2 linked regions of the Astyanax mexicanus genome follow. The protein of the gene in region 1 purifies or fractionates together with the protein of each later gene. This does not show direct contact. Links are inferred from orthologs where the notes say so. Each region holds a gene or a part of one and is shown in the gene's direction. Other genes may lie near its edges.

Region 1 (7,915 bases):
AACACAAGCCTCCCATCTGTTTGGAGAGAGACCAAAATACTGGAAACTGAAGGTATAATTACCATTTTATAAAAACATTTTACATCATAAAATGATAAAATCTGACAAAAACCTCAATCTTCCACTCGCAGCATAAGCAGCAATTTGATTGGCTCTTTTTGTTGAAAGGCAAGATTTTATCTGTAAACAGAGGCCATGATAATCATAACCAGAAACCTTATTCATATTGCAGTCAGTGGCTGGTCTCCTCATTAAAAACGTCTTTTATGCTGGCCAGTTCAGTGAGTGTGTCAAACAAACCCTTTTAATTTGGCTCATAGTCACTACTAGCTATAATTTATTATAATCCTTATCAGGAAGTTAAGAGGCCATAGTTTTACTGGATCATCAAAATGCACAGTGGAAATATAGAAATCTGCTGATTCTTTATGTGTAAACACAACAATGTAGACTGGATCTACTGTCAAACTGCAGACAAGCAACAATGTTCTTTTTGGAAAACAGTGACTCCATCATTGCAACCCAGCCCATTGTTGTTCAGTGTTCTCCTGATGGCGGACTCTTATCATAAACATGAGCATATGTGAGAGAGGCCTTCAGTTGCTTAGAAGTTACCCTGGGGTCCTTTGTGACCTCGCCGACTATTACACACCTTGCTCTTGGAGTGATATTTGTTGGTCGTCTACTTCTGGGGGGGTAAAAATGGTCTTGAATTTCTTCCATTTGTACACAATCTGTTTGACTGGAGTTTGGTGGAGTCCAAACTCATTTTTCAGCCCGATGAACATCAACGATTGTTTTTCTGAGGTCCTCAGAAATCTTATTTGTTCAAGCTATGATACACGTCCACAAACAACCATGTGCTGTGAAGAGCAGACTTAAATAGGTCCCTGTTATTTACATAAAACAGGCTCTGCCCATTCACACCTGATTGTCATCCAATTAATTGAAAACACCCGACTCTAATTTCGCCTTCAAACTGACTGCTAATCCTAGAGGTTCACATACTTTTGCCACTCCCAAAAAATTGTATTACTGGATTATTTTCCTCAATAAATAAATTACCAAGTATAATATGTTTGTCGCATTTGTTTAGCTGGCTTCTCTTTATGTTTTGGGGCATATTTATGCAGAAATTCTTAAAGGCTCACAAATGTTCAAGCACCACTGTCTGAGTAGTTAAACAAAGTCATACAGAGAGAGACAGAAACTTACCACATCTAACACAGCCGTCCAAACCAACACTACAGACTGTGCCAGATCTACTGGAACATTCTGTAATACACCCAATACAGATATCTAAAGAAGATAAAGCTCGATTTCACAGTTCAAACATCCAGTGCTTCAAAGAGGGCATTGTCCTGGACACGTTATGATGAAATTCTAAAGAATAGAGCTTGATAACCCTCCATTGCTGAACTCACCCCACATAATGAATACACAGTACTGGGAAACTGGGAGCAGACTAAGCTATTGAGAACATTCTTATATTTTGTCATTGATAACAACTGCATGATGCTAAACATTCTGGTGGATTGTAATAATATTGATTTATATCTAAAATGAAGGTAATGTTAAATTTTGTTCTCTTAATAAACAGAGCAAAATTTAAATCTTGCAATATAGTCTTAACGTTTTTGATGTATGATGAAAACTGTGTATGTCCGAAATGGTGACTTTATAGGCGAAGTCAAAAGTTAATGTTGAAGTTAATGAAAAATATGAGCTTTTGGGGGATTTGTGGAATGAGAAACCTCTCTGGTGGAAATGTGTAACTGCACATGCATGTGTAAGAGTTTTAATTTTTTTTATTTTAAATGTAGATTAATGTAAATTAATTGCTTTGTAAAATGCTTTATTTTGAAGTGTATCGTTTGCTTTTTTTTTGTTCATTTATGAAATGTTGTTAAAATATAGAAAATAACTGCAGCCAACAAACCTACCAGACCACTCTTTTTCAAATTAATATTTTAGATGGAAAAATATTTTAGAGGAAAGACTCGGATATCGTTAATTAGAATATTTAGACCCCTTCCGATATATAAACAGCTCTGGAAAAAATAAGAGACCATCTAAAAATTATGAGTTTCTTAGATTTTACCGAATTGAAAACCTCTGGAATATAATCAATATTTTTGAACCAGGAGTGGCATAAAGTTACCCAAACGTAGTGTGTAAGACTGGTGGAGGAGAACATACCAAGATGCATTAAAACTGTTAATTTGGTTATTCCACCAAATATTGATTTCTAAACTCCTAAAATTTGATGTATTTGAACTTGTTTTCTTTGCATTATTTGAGGCCTGAAAGCTGCATCTTTTTTGTTATTTCAGCCATTTCTCATTCATTTTCTGCAAATAAATGCTCTAAATGACAATATTTGTATTTGAAATTTGAGAGAAATTTTGTCTGTAGTTTATAGAATAAAACAACAACTTTCATTTTATCAAACATATACCTATAAATAGCAAAATCAGAGAAACTGAGTCACAAACTGAAGTGGTCTCTTCATTTTTTCCAAAGCTTGCCTCTGGGCTGAATCTAAATATTGAGATCATAAAGAAACATCCTTGATCCACCCAGTGGATAACACACAGCAAAGCATACAGATAAGCTGACTGGCTCTTTGTTTGTTTTACCTTGGGTATCTTATATAACCTTTGTATCTATTTTTGGTCATAAAGTCATAATTCACATCCTATATTGAGTTATAAACTTGGATTAGAGGCTTCAGCATTAAAATAAATTATAAAACTTGTAGATGTGGCCTAGCGTCCCAGCTAACCAAAAATGTTATACGATCTTTCAGCAAGGTTTTGAAAAGGTTCTAGAAAGGTTAGCTTGAAACGTTGCAGAAATTATGTTCCAGAAATGTTAATAAAGGATATAATAATAGTTTGTTATACAATGTTATTAGAATATTTCATAAATAACATTTCCAGTTAGCCCTGTGCTGGAAAAGAGAACCTCTTGAAGATGAAAAAGTTCTAAATACGACCAAAGCGGGTTCCACTATTTTTACGAGCTGCTTTACATAAGAGCCCAGATGATGTGAGTGTGATTGACACCTCTAGTCAAATTCTCCTATGTGGGTCAGAGGATTCAGAGGAAGCCAGGGCTTATTTACATAGAGTATAAGCTGCTGGGCCCAACCAATAGGCCCTAAAACATAACCATAACATAACTACCAGTAAAAAGTTTTGGAACATCCCTTTTTTGAGTAGTCCAGTAGTGCTGTATGGCCCAGAGAAGCTGCTATTATATTTTCTTATCTTATCAATAACTTTATTTCTGCACTTCACCTGTCAGACGTCTAATTCTTCTTTTCACTGCTGAAACTGAGATTAATGTTAAGCTGAGCAAAAGACGTTGCCATGTGGGTCAGGCAGACCACTTCCTGTACCACTTTTCTGTCTCCAGTTTTCAGGGCTTTTTTGAAGGTGTAGGAAACATGACTCACTGTTTTTTGGCTTCATCTATAATTTATCTAAAGAACAGACTTATACTTTTAATAGTTACAGAATTATATATGTTTCTGTGTCTTTTTCTAGTTATTATGATAAAGATGTGAATGTGCTGTGTGTAAGTGTGTAAATGCTGCAGTAGAGAGTGCAGTAACACAATCTCTCCCAATACTGCTTTACTACAGACAAAGGCTTTTTACATTTATTTTATTTTTTATCCATTTTCAAAGTTTAGTTTATTTACTTTGCTACTTACCTGCTGCTGTTTGCTAATTTGTTTGCTAGAAATCACCACCACTTTTTTCTGTTAGTTTATTTGTTTTCTGCCAGTTTACTGCACAATTTTAAACAGTGGATTTTGTACCATTTCCAGGTTATTGACTGAACCTTAAAATTTGTTGTGAAGAATATGAAATGTATACCACATACATAGTATGCAAATACTTGCAGTTAAAGATTACATCATAGATTATAATATTATTTAATTGTAACTGGAAACATGCATGAAATAAAAAAATCTGGCTCTTTTTTTCAATAACTATTGTATATTTCAACCATTACTTTCTTTTAGGAGTAATCAATAAATTTGTACATTGTTTTACTTTATGCTTTTTTTTTTATAAATTAATAAATATAAGTCTAAACAGAGCTTATATTTTTTTCAAATGAAAAAAAAGAAAGAAAAACTGATTTATCCCAAAAGTTAAAAATATTTGATATATGGTTATCTGTGGCAAGGGCTCAATTAAGCTTAGCCTTGAACTAATCTGTAAGGTCACACCTAAAGGGGGGAAGTGCAAGTGTAACTGTAAATTAAGGGAATAAATCTGGAACCTGTTATATTTATAAAATTATAAACCTTATTATAAAATTATTAAACCTTTATGACATAATCTACTTTAACTAAACAAGCTGATATGATCTTATTTTTTTGTTTGTTTTAGTAATAACAACAAATTATAAAATTCTGCAGGAAATAAAGTAAATAAAATATTAATAAATAATATTAAAAATCTTAATAAATATTAATAAAAATAAAAATGTAAATAAAAATGATTTTCAGTATTTTAATAACATATATAATGTAGATAATATAGAAGTAATGTATTGGTATACTCTACATTATATTTATTTGGTGATGTTTCACTACTAATTGGATAAGAGTAATAATTATCCCATAGACCGTTAACTAATAATTACGTTTTTCTGGAATAATTTTATTGAACTATAGTAATTCACAGTCTCATTTCTAAATAATATCTTATCACTTAATCTTAGTATTTTGGTTGTTTATCAATTTACATTAATATAAATAATGTTCGCTTGTATTGAGGCAGTATTTGAGTAATGCAGCAGCGCCCCCCTGCGGTCACGGCCGCGTGGCGCAGCTGCACCGGAGCCCAGGTGAGCGCCTTTATCTCCTGTCAATGTGTTACCTGGCGTTACACGGCGTGACGTCAGCGCTCTACATGAGGAAAAAGGAACCGAGGAGTCCATGATCAGCCCGAGAGCTAAATTAACCCAGTTCATGGACTCGTTCTGGGCTTTGTCTCGTTATTAAACCGGCTGTTCACACTGTGTTTGGTGAGAGGCGCTTTAATCCGGATTGGACTTTGGGTCATGTCCGCTTCTGCAGTGTTCGTGTTGGACCTTAAAGGCAAGGTGAGGCCAGTAAACGGATAAAACTGGACTGACTGACTACCAATCAGGACAGGCCTAGGTAGTTCGTGTGTACGTGTATACGTGGAGTGTGTGTGTTTGTGTTTTAGCTTTTTACACTGAGTTTAAACCCAATGTAGTCTAGAACTGACGGTTCAGTCCTGAAACTCCTGAACCCTGACTGTGACCTAACCTTCATTCAGAAGCCTGGCTGTTTACTGTTTATATTAGCGAGCTGCTGATACATGTCTGACCTGTGACACGGCCTAACTACTGTTTACTACAGTTTAGATCAGGAAGATATGAATAAAAATCTTGATATTTTGCAAACGCAGCATGGGCATGTCAGATTTTACATAGACATGTTTAGCTAAGACACATTCATTTCTGTTGATATGAATATAGCACAAAAGGGATTCAACATCATTATGAGTCAAATAACCCTATTACACCATATGTATTCTTTTATTTTTTTATATATATTGTTAAAACTCATATCTACACTGTCTAGCCAAAAAAACAGTCGCCACCTGGATTTAACTAAGTAAATGATGTGGGGTTAATACTGCAGTTGGTCAGGTTTGGGTTCAGCAACAGTATGTGCTGAAAGAATGAGGTCAACTGACTACCTGAATATACTGAATATAGACCAGGTTATTCCATCAGTGGATTTTTTCTTTCCTGATGGCACGGACATATTCCAAGATGACAATGTCAGGATTCATGGGGCTGGAAGTGTAAAAAGTGATTCAGGGAGCATGAGATCATCATTTTCACACATGGATTGTTCACCACAGAGTCCAGACCTTAACCTCATTGAGAATCTTTGGGATGTGCTGGAGAAGGCTTTGTGCAGCGGTCAGACTCTACCATCATCAATGCTGCTGCAACATCTTGGTGAAAAATGAATGCAACACTGGATTGAAATTGCAGAAGCTTATTGAAACAATGTCACAGTGAATGCATGTGCAAAAATCTTTAAAGAAGTATATTTGGCTGAATATTTTCTTACATTTTTTTCATTTGTAACATTATGCAGATCTATTTTATTAGGGCCACCATGATAACGAAGTGATGATGTAAATAATCAGTTTATCAGGTTATCTAAATTTAAAAATGGTCTAAAAAAGGTTCCCAAATAGTGGTGTGATATGTCGTTTTTCGCCCAAATTTAAATTCATGCCATAGAGGGTTAAAACCAATGCCATTTGATAGGCATTTAAAGTGCACAGCCAGTTCATTAAAAATTATTGTTTATACACACAGAACTGTGAGGTATTTCTTTGGGCACTGCATCCTAAAACTAAGTCAGGAAAAGGTGACTGATGAATGAATAGATTGGATTTGGGAACAGAACAGGGGAGCAAAATTAATTTTAGAAATGCATGAATATTTTTTTTATAATGAATGCATTTCCACCTAATTACTTTTACAATCTGTTATTTTATCCTACCTATATGTTTGTGCTTATTACTAGACTCATTGTGACTTTTAATTTTAAGACGGTGGCACCCTGAAGGTACTGTGTGTATGAACAGTGTTTTGTTTTTATAACACTATCTGTGCACTTTTACATTTCTTAGTGCCTTGATTTTAAATGCCAGGGCCCTTGGAATTTTACCAATGAAGTGTGGAGCTACTTTAAGCTTTTTAATGTTGTAAAAAAAAATAGTGATGTTTTTGCATGGGCAAGGCCATACCCCTATCACTAGCATTCTAAGCTTGTTGTCACCATCGGCTAAAAGCTCTGTTTTTTGGAATGCTGGGAGTAAATGGAGGTGTTTTTTTTAAACAAACATTTGTTCATGACACGTTATCAAGTTTTACTACAACTCAAGTCCATTTCACACTGGATTACTCCTTTAAATTTTGTTGTCATCTCATTAAATATTTATTGTAATATTATGTCATTTATTTTAGTATAAGCATTTCTATTTGGTTTATCAGTAATATCCCCCATCTATAGGAGAACAATCAGTTTTTAAAAGTATTTCTGTTTAAAGCAGAAAAAAGGGTAGGCATAACTATTTAAGGCACTTTTAAAGGAGAATTTTGATAGCTAGATGATTGAGGCCTGTGTCAGAACATCTCCAAAATATCAGGCAGGTCATTAGGTGGAATGCTTCTGATATGCAGTAGTCAGTACCTTCCCAATATTTCTCAAGGAAAAGAAAACCTGTGAACTGACAACAGGTGAGGGAAATGTGAGAAATGAAGAGCCGTTTGGTCTAGTCTCATGGAAGAGCTCATATTTCATAGGCCCCCCCTTATGCCGCCACAACAGCTCTGACCCTTTGAGGCATGATGTCCACAAGACCTCTGATGGTTTCCTGTGAGGAAACAGGCATCAACACAGTAGGAACAGATCCTTAGTCCTGTAAGTTGTGAGGTGGAACCTCCATGAGCATCAGTGACTAAACACTTGCTGCTTAATATATTATATTAAAGTGCTAACCTTGATAGGAGCCACTGGAACCACATAATCCATGTTATTCTCATTGATTCATCAGTAGTTTTAATGTTATGGCTGAACTTTTTTTCTGTATCTGGTCAAACTATTTTTAAACCTCCATCCCTTTCCCTTTTCTTCCTTCTCACACTACAGGTGTTGATATGTCGCAACTACAAAGGCGATGTGGACATGGCCGAAATAGACCACTTCCTTCCCCTGCTGATGCAACAGGAAGAGGAGGGGCTCATGTGCCCTGTTATTTCACATGGCAGCGTCCACTTCATGTGGATCAAGCACAGCAACCTGTACTGTATCCTTAATTTTGCCCAGTTTATCATAT
Region 2 (7,905 bases), on another chromosome or scaffold:
GGATGGCGTCATCATACACTGCCACGAGGTTAGGCGCAGGCCGCAGCACCGCCCTCCAGCGCCTGTTAGTCCTCCGCCGAACTGACACGTAGCACCAGCAGCGCTGAACTCATTACTTATCGTTAATAGGTTAGATCTTAAAACACGTACAAATAATAAAACTGTGCAACAGCTCAACCCTGCAGATAATTTACCCGGTTTAAACGTGATTTACGGTGATAAATCACTGGAGTTCTATATTATAAACAGACAGGTGGATAACTGTAGCTTCCTGGTCTGTCACTTTATTATAGTGACATAATAACAGACACAAAATACACTAAATACTCTATATACTGCACGAGTTTAAGGTATAAACTGGTGTATAGTTGACGTGAATAATATATTTTCTCTGTTTGTATATGTGGAATAAATAAATAAATTAATGAAAAAAAGAAACTATTTATTTTATCTGTTATGTAATTTTATTTAGTTCCTTAGATTAGTCCAATAATAATAATAATAATAATCATAAAAACAGCTATATATTTTTTTCTCCTACATAGTAAATGAATACTGAAGTCATCCAGTACTATGAAGGAACACATAAGGAATCATGTAGTAACTTAATAGTGTTTAACAAACCCTTACTCTCATCTGGGGAGCTATTAACTTGCTGGTTGGTTTCTGAGGTTGGTAACTGTAATGAAATGATCCTGTAGAACAGAAGAAACTCTTGTTCTTCCTTTCCTGAGGTGGTCCTGATGAGAGCCAGTTTCATCATGTTGAACCGACAATTTTTTTTTTTTTTTGCGACTGCACTTCGGGATTCTTTCAAAGTTCTTGAAATGTTTTGGATTGACTGACCTTCATTTCTTAAATAATTTTTTTGTTTATTTAGCTGAGTAGTTCTTGCTTCTCATAATCTGGATTCGAACATTACTCAATATTCACTATTCACTGTATACCTGTAACTCTACCTCTTCACTACTTTACTTTAACTGATGCTCTCAAACACTTTATTAAGAGACAAGAAATTCAAGTAATTAACTCTTGACGAGTTCAGCACAGCTGTTAACTGAAAGCCATTGTGTGATGCAAAATGTGGAAAGCTGTCATCTAAGCAAGAGGTGCTACTTTGAAAAATCTTTTTGAAAAAAATCATATTTTTAATGACTTAATATTAATAATATTAATCTTCAATTTATTTTGCCACTGAATGTAAGGTGTTTCCAAACATTTGACTGATAATGTATAATATACTGTATATTATATTATCTACTTATTTCCTATTTAATATCTATATATTGCTGTTATTGAAAGATTGGTTGATTCCTTCTATATATTGTATTATAAAAATCAGAGTATAGAGTTGATTATTTAGAGAGATGAATTCAGAAAAAATTAAATAAATATAATAAAAATTCTCTGTAATATTTAATCTGTGCAGTTCTGTGTTGATTAAATATTGTGATGTGAGCAATATTTGTACGTTTTCTTTTGGAAGCTGTGGTGAAAACTATAATTCTAAAGTTTCTCTTACATGCATTATAATGCATTCTAAGTAAAGACACAAAACATACGCAATTATCTGTGAATTTGTTTGTTCTTGCCAGAAATGTCATATTAATAACGAAGAATTAGCTAAAGTAGAATATGTTAAAAGTCTGAGAATTGTTTTAAACTGAAAGAGTCTGTAATTTCTAAAAGGTTATGGTGATTTTTCTTTGGCAAGCGGTTTTGCTGTTTATTATTTATTCACCATAAATGTACAGCATGTATCATATCAGTAGCCATGAATGATTAGTCATAAATATTAGTCATGCTTTATTTGTTTAAATCCAAGTGCAATTAGCAGAATTCATTACAAGAAACTAAAGTAAAGCTCAGCTCACTGGTGCCACTTAATCATTTAAGGTTGACTTTTTGTCATGCTTGGTCTTGCTGGTAAACCAGATTTGGTGAAGTTTGATTATACTGGTTATTTAGCTTGGTCAGGTTGATTATGGTAAAAATTTAACCCAGTTTAACCAGTTTGAGCTTCAGTAAGGATGTTCCTGCAGTCATGTAAGTGCTGTTTAATGTTGTTAATTGTATTGTTTCTATCCTATGTATGTACATTTATTTAAGAATATTAGAAATATTATTATTATAAATAACATTGTTCAAATGACTGTTCTTTTCTATTTATTAATAATTATTTATTATTATAGACTACCGGTCAAAAGTTTTAGAACACCCCCAATTATTTTCCCTGGAAATGGTACAACATCTAGTGTACAAAATATTAGTATATTGTAAAGGTGTATTGTAAAAAAAAAAAAAAAAACCTGAAAAATCTAATTTAAAAAAGAGGGGTGAGCTTTAGCGAACAGTTAATTGGTAAACAGCTTACAGCTGGCCCGAATCAATGCAAATAAAATTAGCTTTGAAAATTGATTTTAAAAAATGTTCATTTCCAAAGCTATTAGTGTATTAAATATACACCATTTTTTTAATTCTAAATTCTGGGCATTTAATGTATAAACATAGACTATTTTTATATAATTCTTTTTATTTATTCACAATAATTAATGCTATACATACTGCAAAAAATATAAATCTAAATTAATAACATTTCTTACTCTGATATTATTAAAGTAACATTGCAGTAATTAATAACTTATTTTTAATTTCCTTGTACTTGTTTTAAGTAGAGATGCACAGATGTTTCTGATGTTTCGAATTTCGGGGGCCGATGCTTATATACGATATTATACATTTATGTATCTGCCGATGCAGATACAATACAATTAAGGGTTTCTCCTGAGAATTTTGTTTTCACATTTTTTGGTTTCAGATTTACTTAGCCATTTTTTTCTTAAATACACTGTTAACAGCTTTAAACCCTAATTTTTAATTATTAAATTAAATAAAGCAGTATATGTACTGAAACTAATTAAAAAAAATTAAACACTACCTAAAATAAATGGATTTAAAAGTAGCACAGCCCATTGTAGTAGAATGACCAGCGTCGCTTAATCCTTTTAAAGTTTATGATAAGTACTTAAGGAAAATAGTTTAGAAATGCAATAACTTTTGATTATTCTAAAATGCAAATATCCAAATTATGAAGAAAAACATATTAAATTATTTAGTAAACAAAAATGTATTAAACAAACCAGAATATGTTTTAAATTTTAGATTTGTTAATGTAGCTCTTCTTGATTAGATAACAACTTCACACATCTCTGCTGGATTTTTTCAGTCAGCTTTATGAGGTAGATTCACCTGGATTTCAGGCTTTCAGTTAACAGCTGTGCTGAACTCATCAAGAGTTAATTACTTGAATTTCTTGTCTCTTAATGTGTTTGAGAGCATCAGTTGTAAATAGTGAAGACTAAAGACTACTCAACTAAATAAAGAAAAAAATGACTTTAAGAAGAAATGAAGGTCAGTCAATTCAAAACATTTCAAGGACTTTGAAAGAATCCTCAAGTGCAGTCGCAAAAAAACATTATGATGGAACTGATACTCATCAGGACCGCCCCAGGAAAGGAAAAGCAAGAGTTCCCTCTGTTGTACAGGATGCGTTAATCAGAGTTACCATCCTCAGAAACCACAAGTTAACAGCTCCCCAGATAAGAGCACCTAAATGCTTTTTCACAGGTTTGTTTAACACTTTTAAATTACTACATGATTCCTTATGTTTTCCTTCATAGTTTGAATCACTTCAATATTCATTTACAATGTAGAGAAAGGAAAGAAAAATAACAACATTGTGAGAAGATGTGACAATGAGACAATGAGAACAATGAGAAGATGTGTCCAAACGACTGGCAATGTATGTCTTTTTTTTCTAAAATTCTGACAACCATGCAAAATGAGAAATTTCACATATTGTTCTTAAAAAAGCAATCAATTATACTGATATACTGAATATTCCAAGATCATCGTGCATCTATAGTTTTAAGTGATTTAATGTGCTAAAACGGTCTTATTGTACTGGCAAATAATATTGCTTACTCCAGGAAATAACTGATAATATTTTACTTTTAGTCAAGACATAATGATGAAACAGACACAACAATCTGCCATAGAATAAGACACTTTCAGTAGTTTAAATTATTCAGTAGATTAAATTACTTAAAATGTTATATATATATATATATATATATAACTACTTAAAATAATATATAAATTACTTAAAATCTTTTATATATATATATATATATATATATATATATATATAACATTTTAAGTAATTTAATCTACTGAATAATTTAAACTACTGAAAGTGTCTTATTCTATGGCAGATTGTTGTGTCTGTTTCATCATTATGTCTTGACTAAAAGTAAAATATTATCAGTTATTTCCTGGAGTAAGCAATATTATTTGCCAGTACAATAAGACCGTTTTAGCACATTAAATCACTTAAAACTATAGATGCACGATTATCTTGAAATATTCAGTATATCAGTATAATTGATTGCTTTTTTTTAATAATTGTATAATTATTAAATAATTATACATAATTGTATAATTAATCGTTTTTTTTGTTTAAAATATTCACTTTTGCATGGGTATATATATATATATATATATATATATATATATATATATATATATATATATATATATAACCATGCAAAAGTGAATATTTTAAACTTGAATTTAGAGGAATTTACTAATTCTATAATTGTACACAATATCTTATATCAAATTAAATTAATTTAAAATATATTTAATACTGAAATATGATACAATAACATTTTATAACTATTATTATTGGTAGAATAAATAATAAAATACATGTAATATATTTGTAATTATCTATGTATCTGTGTGTATAATATATGTGTGCTGTCCTTCCTGCCTGCGCGTGCATGTGTGCATGCGCGCGCGCGCTGCTTCCACCTTGAAGTTCGGTGGGAGACGATTCCGCGCTGTATCCTTCCGCCTGCAGTAGAAGTGCTGAGGCTAGGGCCGCCGCCATTTTGAATGTCTGGTCCGTTCCTCCCTCCGTCGCAAACAGAGACGATTCCAGCGCTTTCCTGGTGTCAGTACGGCTGGTGAGTACGGTGTCTTTCGGAACCACAGCGATAAAAGACCCGTTAGGACGGTAATGGAGCTCGCGGCTTCCCGGGCCGCCTCGAAACGGCGCTATTTTAACACTGTCCGCGGCTGTAAAGGCTGAGTAAGGGGGCTCGGGAAGTAGAGCAGCTAAGGCGAGTAACGTTTATTACAGGTTTAAAAAACTCAAGAACGGCGTTTAGCGAGTCACAAACTTAACGGCACGAGTCGGAGAAGGTTGAGTAGGCGAGGGTGCAGTTTTGTACACTTTAAAACGCGTGCTTAGTGAGATAAATCGGTGAAAATAGCGAGCAATGAGTGGCCGTGGCTAATCCAGATCCGTGGATTGAAAATCCAGTTCCGGCGTTTCGTTCTAACTGCGTAAACGGATATGCTGCAGTTCAGCTGCAGCCGACCCGTCGATGTAGTTAGAACGAAATTCCGGCGCGGAGTGTCACTTCACGGACTGGATTTGCTAGGAAAGCCTCTGATTGGGCATCAGGCGTGTCCATACTGACAAACCTAGCTTGTGCTTAGCTTGCTACGTATATTTAAACCTTTTAAACATGCATATATAAATAAATTCGTGTAAAATTAGCTTTAAAACTTGCAGCTTTCTTCATAATAAAAGGCAGCTGCCATCCGGGTAATGTAACGTTAGCTAGATAGCCTGCCTAGGTAGTTAGGTTGCTCGGTTAGTTAGCTGGCTAATTCGTATCCAGTCTTTAGCTATGGTCCCTTGAGGCCTTGCTAGGTAGCTATCTAGGTTAGCTAGCTTGCTATTAAGCACACTTCTCTCTGACAAGAACTAGAAACAAGGAGGAAACGTCAAGTTGAGAAAAGAAGGGCAATAAATGAATTAATCCGTTTTTAAACTGCAGTAAGTTGAAGAAGGTAGCGTTAGGTTAGCTAGCCTAGTTTACTACTAGGTAGCTGACTGCCTAGGCTGCCTAAGTAGTCTTTTTAGTGAACAGTCGAGCTAGGGAACTAGTTAGCTAACTACTGAGCTTGCCTAAGCTGAGGCCTTGTAGCTTACCAGGTAACATAAAGCAAAAAAAAAAAAAAAAAAAAGTTTTTTAGCATTAAAAGAGCAATGAAACACTTCACTCTGACAAGAACTTGGGAACTATGAGCTAGGAGGAAACGTCAAGTTGAGGAAAAGGTCAAGAAAATGTTTTAACCGCTAAATTAATCCGTTTTTGAGATGTAACTTAGTTAGCTGAAGTATCTAAGTTAGCCAACGCATATAACCAGCTAGTTATCTGGCTAATACCATGACACAGAAATATCATGATATTAAAAATTCATATCGTGATAATTGGGCTGTTCTGTCTTAAAAGTAGTCTATTATTTACTCCAAAGCTTTAAGTGTGTTTATTGTATAATTGTTTTAGTTTGCAGTTCATATGCATGCACTAAATTTTCTGCTGTATTATTTGCGGCATTATATTATCTAATGCTATATTATTTATTTTGCCACATTATGATTATACTATTATACTATATTCCTGAAATTAATGAATTATTTTAGTTTTTCTATATCACCAAGTATATTGTTATTGCCAAACAGTCCCTGAAATATCGTGATATTATTTTAGAGCCATATCGCCCACCCCCACTGCCTAACTTGCCTTTTTAAAGCTTAAGCTGTTGGAATGAGTGGACAACGTAGCTTGGAGGCTATCTAGCCTTTGGAGGCCCAATTGTGCACCTTTTTAAAGTAATTTAAAGTGACGGAACAGGTTTTGAGCATTAAAATAGCAATGTTATAAGTGTTTACTCACATTGAAGATCTTTGTCATGTAGTTTTCACAAAAAAGAAAGGGTTCAAACATGCAGATTTCTCCTTTTTAAGAGATCTTTCATCTGAGGTAACAACGACATTAGTTAACGTTATCTAACCTAGTTAGGTTTCTCCCTTTATGTCTTGCTAGTAAGTTATGTTTAGATATCTGTAAGTCAAGCACACTTCACTCTAAGAAGAACTAGAAACTAGGGAACTAGGAGGAAAAGTTGAGGAAAGAAGCTCAAATGTATTAACTACCTAATTAATTTTGTTTAAACTGTAGTTAGCTAAAAGAGTTAGCTAAACTGGCCAGTTAACTAGCTAGTTACCTACCTGTCTAACTATCTAGGTTGCCTTACAAGTTTGTCTTCTTTCTTTGTTATTTAATGTTTTATTGGTTTCAAAGTCATTGCAATTTACAGGAAATTAGCACATCAATCTCAAGAAACAAATTAAAATCTTTTTTTTACAGTGTTAACTTAATATTTAAGACTATATTAAAGTTTTACAGGGACACATGCAGAATTATGTGTGGAAAAACCTAGCTCGTGATTAGGTTAATTTATCGATTAACCTAGCTAACTAACCAGTTGTAAACAAACCTAGCTTGTGCTGAGCTTGATACTTGATAAACCTTTTTATGTAAGTATATATGTATATAAATGTGAATCAAGGTTTCAGACTTGCAGCTTTCTTCATTATTAAGCAGGATTCAGGTTGATTGAACTGTATCTAATCCCTTTCTGTATCCTATCCTTGGCTATGCTCCTTTGATGCATTGCTTGCTAGTTAGTTATTTATCTTTAACTCAAGCACACTTCACTGTGACTGAAAAAGTAGGAAACTTAAGAACTAGGAGAAAATGTCAAATCGAGGAAAGAAGGTCAATCAATTGTATTACCGCTAAATTAATCGGTATATAGCTCACCTATTTAACTAGCTAGTTACCTACCTATCTATCTAGGCTGCCTAGCTAGTTTCTTTAAAGAGGTGGGAATGAGTGAGCTGCCTAGCTAGGGAGCTAGCTAGCAAACTAGTGAGCTAGTCTAAGGCTAAGCTAAGGCCTGCTAGCGAGCTAGTATAGCTCA

What was found. Proteins that work in one complex are often made in the same cells at the same time.
Region 2: the proteins of ap1m2 (region 1) and ap1g1 purify together in Homo sapiens (affinity purification with mass spectrometry; 4 studies listed by BioGRID and IntAct, counting the BioPlex papers as one, with this or other methods). This does not show direct contact. The link is inferred for Astyanax mexicanus from reciprocal best matches to the Homo sapiens genes AP1M2 and AP1G1.

Annotation. Positions count from the first base shown.
Region 1 is NC_064412.1:31,905,128-31,913,042, reverse strand, and holds the start of ap1m2 (AP-1 complex subunit mu-2), read left to right. Parts: upstream 1-4,915; 5' UTR 4,916-5,084; coding exon 5,085-5,126; intron 5,127-7,728; coding exon 7,729-7,885; intron 7,886-7,915. UniProt on the Homo sapiens protein: Subunit of clathrin-associated adaptor protein complex 1 that plays a role in protein sorting in the trans-Golgi network (TGN) and endosomes.
Region 2 is NC_064423.1:38,501,202-38,509,106, reverse strand, and holds the start of ap1g1 (AP-1 complex subunit gamma-1), read left to right. Parts: upstream 1-4,891; 5' UTR 4,892-5,030; intron 5,031-7,905. UniProt on the Homo sapiens protein: Subunit of clathrin-associated adaptor protein complex 1 that plays a role in protein sorting in the late-Golgi/trans-Golgi network (TGN) and/or endosomes.